Linked DNA regions of Mus musculus. The protein of the gene in region 2 interacts with the protein of the main gene of each other region in a pairwise test. Links are inferred from orthologs where the notes say so. Each region holds a gene or a part of one and is shown on either strand. Other genes may lie near its edges.

The links.
Region 1: the proteins of Tollip (region 2) and Tom1l2 interact in binary tests that used the Homo sapiens proteins (3 or more experiments, as listed by UniProt). The link is inferred for Mus musculus from reciprocal best matches to the Homo sapiens genes TOLLIP and TOM1L2.

What each region holds. Positions count from the first base shown.
Region 1 is NC_000077.6:60,349,903-60,354,680, forward strand, and holds the start of Tom1l2 (TOM1-like protein 2), read right to left. Parts: upstream 3,004-4,778; 5' UTR 2,907-3,003; coding exon 2,855-2,906; intron 1-2,854. UniProt on the Homo sapiens protein: Acts as a MYO6/Myosin VI adapter protein that targets myosin VI to endocytic structures. May also play a role in recruiting clathrin to endosomes. May regulate growth factor-induced mitogenic signaling.
Region 2 is NC_000073.6:141,888,821-141,892,968, forward strand, and holds part of Tollip (toll-interacting protein), read right to left. Parts: intron 4,070-4,148; coding exon 3,920-4,069; intron 3,347-3,919; coding exon 3,164-3,346; intron 2,035-3,163; coding exon 1,882-2,034; intron 778-1,881; coding exon 687-777; intron 1-686. UniProt on the Homo sapiens protein: Component of the signaling pathway of IL-1 and Toll-like receptors. Inhibits cell activation by microbial products. Recruits IRAK1 to the IL-1 receptor complex. Inhibits IRAK1 phosphorylation and kinase activity.

The sequences.
Region 1 (4,778 bases), on a different chromosome or scaffold from region 2:
AAACAGAGAACGCAATTCACAGAGTCTCTACAATGTTCTAGATAAGAGATCAAGTGCTAGCAGACATGAACCCTTCAAAGTAAGCACTCAGTAAGACACAGGTCTCTCCCCGCCCTTCCCTCCTTTTGCTCAGCAGACAGTCACTCTCAGGCTTGGAATGCCTACACAACCTTCTGAGGTTCCATAATCAAGGTCATTTGATGCAGGTCACATCTAACATGTTTACTTATTTCCATCCATTCAAATGGCCCTACATCCCTTACTTCTCTCTACATTCTGCCCTTCATATGCCTCAGCTTCCCTCCCCTACCCCCCACTCCACCCCTCTAGTTCCCTGGCTTGAGCTCAACATTGGGTGGAGAAGTGAATTTAGACTGCGCTGAAAGGGCACTTGGAGAGAAGAGGAAGACAGAAAGGAGAGTGGGTGGGAGACACAGTCGGGGCTGCAGAGAGGACTCGGTGCTGAACAGCACTTGCTGCCCAATCGTGAGAACTGGGGTTTGGATCCCAGCACCCATATCAGCTGGATCACAAATGCCTGTAACTCTGCACCATGGAATCTGATGCCCTCTTCTTCCTCCACGGGCACCCTATTCACACTCACACCGACGCATGCACACACATACATAAATAAAATAAAATCTTTTCAATATAAGAGGGGAGGCTGGAGAGATAACTCAGTGGTAGAGAGCACTGGTGCTCTCCCAAAGGATCCAGGTCTGACTCTCAGCACCCACATGGCAGCTCACAGCTGTCTGTAATTCCAGTTCCAGGTTCTGACACCCTCTTCTGGCCTCTGTGAGCACAAGGAATCAAGTGGTGTATAGACATACATGAAGGCAAAACAAACACATAAAATTGAAATATTTATATATATACATGCACATATATGTGTTTATATGTAAACACATAAAATTGCAGTATTTACATACACACACATATACATACAGAGAAAAAGAGATACTTGAGTGAACATCAGAGAAAGAAGCGTCATAGAAGTGGGAAAAGACTTTCAGGTCCCAGAATCCATGATCACTTATAAAAGACACTTTATCAAAAAAGAACAGAATGGCAGGGTGTGGTGGCACACACCTTTAATCCCAGCACGTGAGAGGCAGAGGCAAGCGAATTTCTGAGTTTGAGGCCAGCCTGGTCTACAAAGTGAGTTCCAGGACAGCCAGGGCTACACCGAGAAACCCTGTCTCAAAAAACAAAAACAAAAAGCCAAAAGCCAAAAACCAAAACCAAACAAACAAAAAACCCAAAAGGAACAGAATGCTCCCAAATGTCAATCAACAACAGAAAAAGCCTCCGTAAGTTTGTAAGCTTAACAACAGAAAAGTAGGCTATAAATTCATATACAAAGTAGAAACAAGCAAGTCTCTACTGCTTGAACTATAAGACCCATAAGGATAGTACAGAGCCCAGTTCATAAAAGATGATTTCAACCAGCCGGCAGACCCAACTTTAATTTTCAAAAATGTTACATATGTGGGCGTTTTGTTTGCCTGTCTGTGCACCATTTACATGGTATGTTTAGGTATGTATATAAAAGACACCAGAAGAGGGCAATCAATCCCCTGGATGTGAAGTTACAGCCAGTTGTGAGCCACTATGCAGTGCCAGGGCCTGAATCTGGATTAACAGCCAATGTCTTTAACCGGTGAGCCAGTTCTCCAGCCCCAAGTTTGTTTGTTTTTAAAGCTAGTCAGCACTTTTGACTGATCTGTTGGCATAAGCTCCCACCTTGGATGAAAGGCCAAATTGCTTTATTATTCATTACTTGCAGTGCTGGATCCTAGATCAAATCCAGGATTTTGTGTGTGCTAAGTTAATGCTCTACCACTGGACTATTCCCTGGTCTGCCAGTGTTTTCTTCTGTAAGGAAACTTCACAGCGGCCAGTGCCATTCCTTATGCAGCATGCGGCCCGCCTCTAACTCCTTACACTACTGACAGCTGCTCTGATTACTCTACTACCACTTTATGTAGTGGGAGAGCAAGAGGCAATGTAAGGAGACGCTTAATATCAACAAGGAAGATTCAGAACTTTAGAACTTGAAGAGTCCCACCACATCTTATCTCCAAATACCCCGTGTGGCAGACAAGAGAACGTCAAAATATAAAGCGCACAAGGTCAGGAGGAGCGTCCCTGGCAAAGTCACTACTGGAGTCCAAGTTTCCGGGATCCAATGGACTGCTTATCAACAAAGCAGCCCTGCCTCCCTTCTTTCCTAGGAGGCCTAGGAGATTCTGCCGCCACGCCATCCCCCTGCCAAGCCAGTCACTTTCCCCGAGGGCCTCCCCCATCCCAGTCCCTCCTACAGCCTGACTGAGTTGCAGCTCAAATTAGAAGTCGTGCAGCATGGGGCATTTTCTGGGAAAGTGCCCAGCCTCAGAGCCATTGGTACCAATGAGCAGGGACAAGGACGGAAGAAAGAGTTCCATTCCACAAAGGCTCCGGGAGACAGAGGCCCTGGGAGCAAAGGCAGCGAGATACCTGGGGAAGAGTACTCGCAGTGACATCTCCCAATACGCAAGGGTAAGCAGACTAGCATGGACACTACTTCTGGGGAGAGACTTGAAAGGCTGGGCCCTGATGGGCAGGGATGCCGGGGACCTCTCTAAGTCCAATCGGCACCTCGGGGGAGCCTCCTTGTAGGGTGAGGTGGCACCAGCGTCAGGCAGAGGCCTCGTGACAAGGATGCCCAGTCCACCTTTGAGATGACACCACTTATTGGCAGAGGCCCAACCCGCACGTGAGGTGATTTCAGTGCCGGGAGGAGGCCCGCGGATCTCACCAGCCCGGTCAGCCGCTGTGGCTCACTCGACGCCTGCCCCACGCGCGGCCTTACCAAGACACTGCCCTACAGGGGTGCTGAACGGATTCCCCAGCAGGAACTCCATCTCGGCGGGCCTCGTTCCAGCCCGGACTCCTGTGTGCCACGGGTCTCCGCTGCCCGCGCCGCGTTCTGCCCTGACTGACACTTGCCCCCGCCCCACCCTCCGGAACGCTGAGCGCCCGGCCTGACCTCGCCCTCTGGGTGCATCTCTATTGGGCAGCGTCTAACCAGCCCACTTCCGATTGGACGACACTCCACTCTCAGTGAAGTCCCACCCACCCCGCGGCGTCCGATTGGGCACGAAGCAAGCTAAGTCACTAGGGTCTCCGTCAGCCTAGCGGCACAACCCCCGGACCCGCCTCCAAACGAGTGGCCGTTCTTCTTGATTCATTAGCACGTTGGTCAGTCTAGAGAATCTTTACTATTATTGGATAAAAGGTGTGTCAATCGTTTACATAGGCGGGCAGAAAGAAAGCGTAACTAGAAGTTGAAGCTCGTTGACTGTGCTGATTGGAGAAACGTTTGTTTTCTTCAAGTCTGGTTGGTGTTAGAAATATGGCCACGTGACGAATCAACTTTCACCCAGGATATTTATCGCTTGACTTCCCCTTAGCAACCAAGTGGCGGTGTTTGGTTCCCCAGCAACCAAACGAAGCGTCTACTGCAAGGGGAGACAGTCCTTAGGAAGGTAAGAATCAAGAGTTTAGCTCCAGAAGATTAGAGGTTGCATGATTGAGGTCTGTCTTGTAACTCTTCTTGGAGGACTCCGACCTGACCCGTCTCATCTGTAAAATGAGCACACATGTCATTTTTACACTTGTACTGAGACTTAATCGGGCTTTTGAAAAAGAAAAGAGCGTATAAAATCTTAAACTAGCAAAAGCAAGTAGGAAAAGGGTCCATCAGCCAGTTTCCTGGCCTGATTCGTTTCACTGAAAGAGAGGTACCCGATACACTGATAACTCATTCTAGAGTTTGGCTGTTATATCCATCCTCTTGATCTGCAATAAGGTATTTCATTTGGTGCCGTATGAAGTGTTTGCGATGAGAATAAAGATATCAAGGTTCCATCTCAGTCTCTGTCAGTAATTCACTCTATGACTTTGGTCACAGACCCCCCCCCCGGCCCCCCACATACACACATACCTCAAGCCTCAATTTCCCTATCTGGGAAGTAGGGACACTAAGATGTCCCTTTTAAATAGCTCCCAGAACTGGCATGGAGTTAAATAAGTGGAGTGCACTGAGAGTACGACAAGGACTTATTCTCATCAGTTGCTTTTATTCTCATTACTGTGGGACTCATAGGGTCTACATAGTGTTTCAGGTCCAGCTAACCCAGGCTGTTGTTTCCCAGGTAAACCAGTGACGAGGCTACCTGGTTGATTTGTTTGTAAAGCTTTCTGCTGCTTCTCCACATCCTACCTCTGGTCTTCACCAAGGACACTATCATCAGGCAAGTCAATGGGACCCCCATTTGGATAAATTATTGACATCCTCCCCATAGGGGAGGATTCTTTGGGCCTTGTTCTGTAGGCAGAGAACATGTGACAATGTCTGTCCCTAGTGTGCTGGGTACAATAGAGTTGTGATTAAGAAAGTGGATTCTGTGTTAGACATGAGGTCGTGCCTCTTGGTAAATCTTCATATTAGTCAATCGAGAAATTTCTCTTACAGAGATCCCTACTGTGTGCTTTCATAGTTCCATACACCCACTAACCTGTCAATGTTTGTAAGTAGATATTGGGATAATTTATTTAATTCAAGTGTGGTTCAGAAGTCAGGCCACACCTCTTCAGTATCCTTTCACAAGGTTGGTTATAGAGAGCCGCTCTGACCTTGTAGCTTTCACAAAGTTCTCTCTTTCACTCCTTACAGATGTGAGCAAACCCAGCTTCCCCTGATTCCTGGGCCAAGACATACCTGAATTGCAACT
Region 2 (4,148 bases):
TCTCATATTCCCTCCTGCCCTATAGACTGGCCATTCCCATTGGGATAGCAGAACTAGCATGGTCTGCTTGGACTACAGTTCCCTGGACCCTAGCAAGAGACTAGGGAGACTACAGGCCTGCCCTGATGTCTACTCTCAGAGCCACAGTTTTTCCTGTTGGCTGAAGCCAAGAAAGGAGCTGTGTGATCTCATCTGCTCATCTGGCTTGCCCTATTCTGGTAGGAGGACGAGTTGGATACCAGGCACTGTGAAAGCCACAGGAAGATTAGAAATTTAAAAAAATACATAAAAGCCACATCTTGACTTTATGACCCAAGCAGCTATTAATTTATATGGGTAAATACTTTCAATGAAAGCCATGATTTTCTTTTAAGATGTAGGTGCTCAGGGTGAGTGTTGTCTAACAGGAACCAGGTTGTCTTATTCCAGTAACTCATTCATAAAAATGACAATGTTTCTACAACTCCAAAAATTTCAACTCACCTTACTTGTGGCAATAATTAGGGCAAACACTATTGCCTATGTATGCATAAATAATTCAGATATGACACTGGAATAAGTTTTAGAAGGATCCTCATTTAAAGCAGCCATGCTTACACAATTCTACACTACTCAAGCTTCACAGGCCCTTCCCTCCTCCTGTCCTACTTTGTCCCAGGACTGCCTACCAAAGAAGCAGTACACACCTGCAATGGGCACATAGCCAACACCCTGCTGGTACACAGTTGGCATCAGGACCACAGGCTGAGGAGGCATCATCATGGCAGCTGGGAGGGACTGAAACACAACAAAGAAAAACATGTCAGTCAAGGAGGACCACACCATATGTCAATCTTGTTACTTCTGGTATCAGAGGAGTGGTCCTAGCCTCAGCCCAGACATTAACACCCAAGACATGGAGTCCTCAGCAAGAATGTAGTATTCCTGGCCTCTGGTTTCATCTGTACCAACACTCCCGCAGACTGCCTCCCTTCAGCTAGACAACTTGGGCTGCAGACTCCTAGCTCAGTTAGGAAAGTGGTGCACAAGCATGAGGACCTGAGTTCAATCCCCAGCATCTATGCATAAAGCCATGTTTGGTAGCTCATATCTATAATCCAAGGGATAGGGAGTCATAGACAAGAAGATCCCTCAAGTTCATTAGCCAGCCAATCTAGAGGAATGAGATTCAGTTTCAGTGAGAACAAAAGTCAGGGTGAAGATTAAAGAAAACAAATGATATCAACTACTGGCCTCACATGAGCTGCAACCACCACCGCTTCTCACACAGCCCCCTTCACGGTTTGTTCTGGAGACTGCATAAGTATCAGAAGCTTCTCTCAGAAATACTGAATTGGTTTGTTTGTTTGTTTAATATGTCTTAGTGTTCTGTGTGCATGTATATATGTGCATTATGTGTGTGCCTGATGCCAGTGAAGGTACTGAATCCCCTGGAACTGGAGTTACAGTTGGTTGTGAGCCACCATGTAGAGGCTGGGAATCAAACCTGGAAATTTCCACAAGAGCAGCAGTGCTCTTACCTGTTAAGCCACCTCTCCTGGACCAGCTCTAATAATCTTGAACTGTAGATGCGATAGTGTAAAATGGACCTATGCTACATAAAGCACCTGTTAAAGACAGGTAACACTCAACACCAGGAGAGGCATGTAGGATGGTCAAGCTGAGGAGGCCTGCATCAGAGTGCTTTATACTCCCCTGTTCTCAAAGACTCTGCAACAACTAAAATGAAAGGCCTAGATAATACAAAGGAGACACTGGGAGCTCAGATGCCCAGCCCTGCCTCCCATGACTTCCCAAGGTTCTGGGATTCTGGGAGCCATAGCTGCCTCAAGGAGGTGCCATAACCTCTTTGAGGATGGCCTCTCCGGACAGTGAACTCACCGTGTAGGACATGACCAGGTTAATCATGCCCTCCTTGTCATCGCCCTGCCTCCCACTCAGGCTATACCACTCGTCCTCCACTTGGCCCTGCTTCAGGGACTCGGGGATGGTGATGTGGGTCCAAGCTATGCGGTCATCCATGGAGAAGGCGCGCTGAGGAAGACAAGAGTAAAATGACCTCATCATGGCCCACAACAACCCATGTTATAGAGACGAGCTTTTCCTATGGCTGTGACTCCACCTGGACTGGTGCCTGCATCTACCTTCTATCTTCTTGGCAGGAGAGGTTCCTCCTCACTGCTCCATCTTCCGTCAAGGAGCTTCCCATTAAACCATAACGCCAGACCTCCATAGATCACCTAGACCTGGCCACCACCATTTCTGCATCTTCTGAGTAACAACCATGAGGCCAGGCCAAAGGACAATAAAGAATCTCTGGGCTGTCATCCTTGTTCAGGGATGGACACTATCTTCCCCAGTCCTTGGGCCCTTACTCCTAATCCACTAGATATAAGAAGCAAGTATCAAGCCCAGTAGGTACAGATGAGGACAAGAGCTCCAAGCCACCACCCACAGCCCCAAACCTCCTTCTCATATCCTTACTATTCTCAGACACAGAAGGAGGAGAAAGGGACAAAACCAACCAACTAAACAAACAAACAAGAAGAAAGTAGAGCAAGAGGCAGAGGGTCAAGACAAAGGAGAAACTGTGTCCCCTCACTGGGCCTCCCATGCCAATGTCCTCTTTGGCTCTCATGCCTCCATTTTTTTCCCACTGCCCTTTGCTGTTTCAAGGAAACAAGCATATGACCTCCACAGCTAAGCTACAAGGAGACATCTTCCACCTGAGTTTCCTGATTGCCCTCAAAAAGCTGCATGCCTAACTGCTGGAACAGCCATGGGACATTACTGGCAGAGCCTGGAACTCATGCCTACAAGAACAGTGCTCCCATCACGAGTGGAGCCTGACTTGCTTGAAATCTGACGTGCCCGTGAACATCTATTTTCACACTCTACTCATGCTTCTACTGCTGGTGATGGCTCCCAATGGACACTGTCAAAGGAACTGAGAGAAAAAATCTGTAGCTTGTCATTTAGCCACTAAATGCCAGGTGTCCAGGCAGGTCACACCCTGTCACCAGTCACTAAATGCTAGGTATGTATACAGGGCCTGAGCACCAGGAGAACAGCTTCATGACTAAACCCACAAGGCACACTACAGCACACCCATGTCTGTCAGATCCCAAACTAGACAGGTCTGTAACACTGGGGCATCTCTCACCTCATCGAAGATCTCAAGGTAGAACGAGTCCACACCTGGGGGCACTGTGCACTGAATGACTTTGTTCCAGCGAGGGTTCTTGGCCCCATTGTGTGCTGTGGGAGTTTCATAAACAGCATAGCCCAGACGCAGACGGCAGTAAGGGTCCATACGAGTCATGCCATAATTCTTTGCCAATTTTGCCTGAAACAACACCAAATTTAGAAAAATGTGGCATTCACCAGCAGAGACAAAGGCCAGTGCATCTGTAAACTGCTTTTCTTACAGATATTTCCCAGTGTGTGAAAAAACAGCCTTCAAGTTCACCTAATCGTGTCAGTAACCTGCTCTTGAACATGCTGCCAGTCACTCCTGGACTCATGCCCCTGGAACCTAGCCATACCTGGCAACACCTGTGAGCAGTAAGACAAGACCTCTCCTCTGACACTGCACTGAGTGTGCGCATCCTAGGCCTCAGCACGGAGCTGAGGTTGAATGGGAAGTGCGGTCGGCAGAGCTGTTGTGCAGGAATGAGCAGCTCACTGCTACAAAGGGGCCATCAGGGAAAGCGTCCTCACGGAGTACAATGCCTGACATGGACCAACAGTATCTTAGGCAGATCCCTGAGGAATCAACAGGTATTACCAGATATTTTCAAGAATAACTAGAATCAAAAAAATTCTACTGTGCACATGGGAAATGAGATGCAAAGCCCCATGCCCAGTGCCTCCCCTTCTGCTCAATCCCACCAGTCTTCAACAGGAAACTAAGACCCACCTGTACCACAGTGATGCTGAGGCGACCCACGGTACCAACTGTTCCTCCATACTGCAGCTGCTGGGCTGCCTGGGCATCCAGCTGGATCTGCTGCTGCTGTTGTGTGGGTGTTATACGGAGGAAGTCCTGGGGGAGTTCACCAATGTACACCTTCCAGTGAGGAGAGAAAAAGAGTAGAGTCAAAGCAGAATGCCAAGCAATCTCAAAGTACTATCTGGCTTACCTTAGA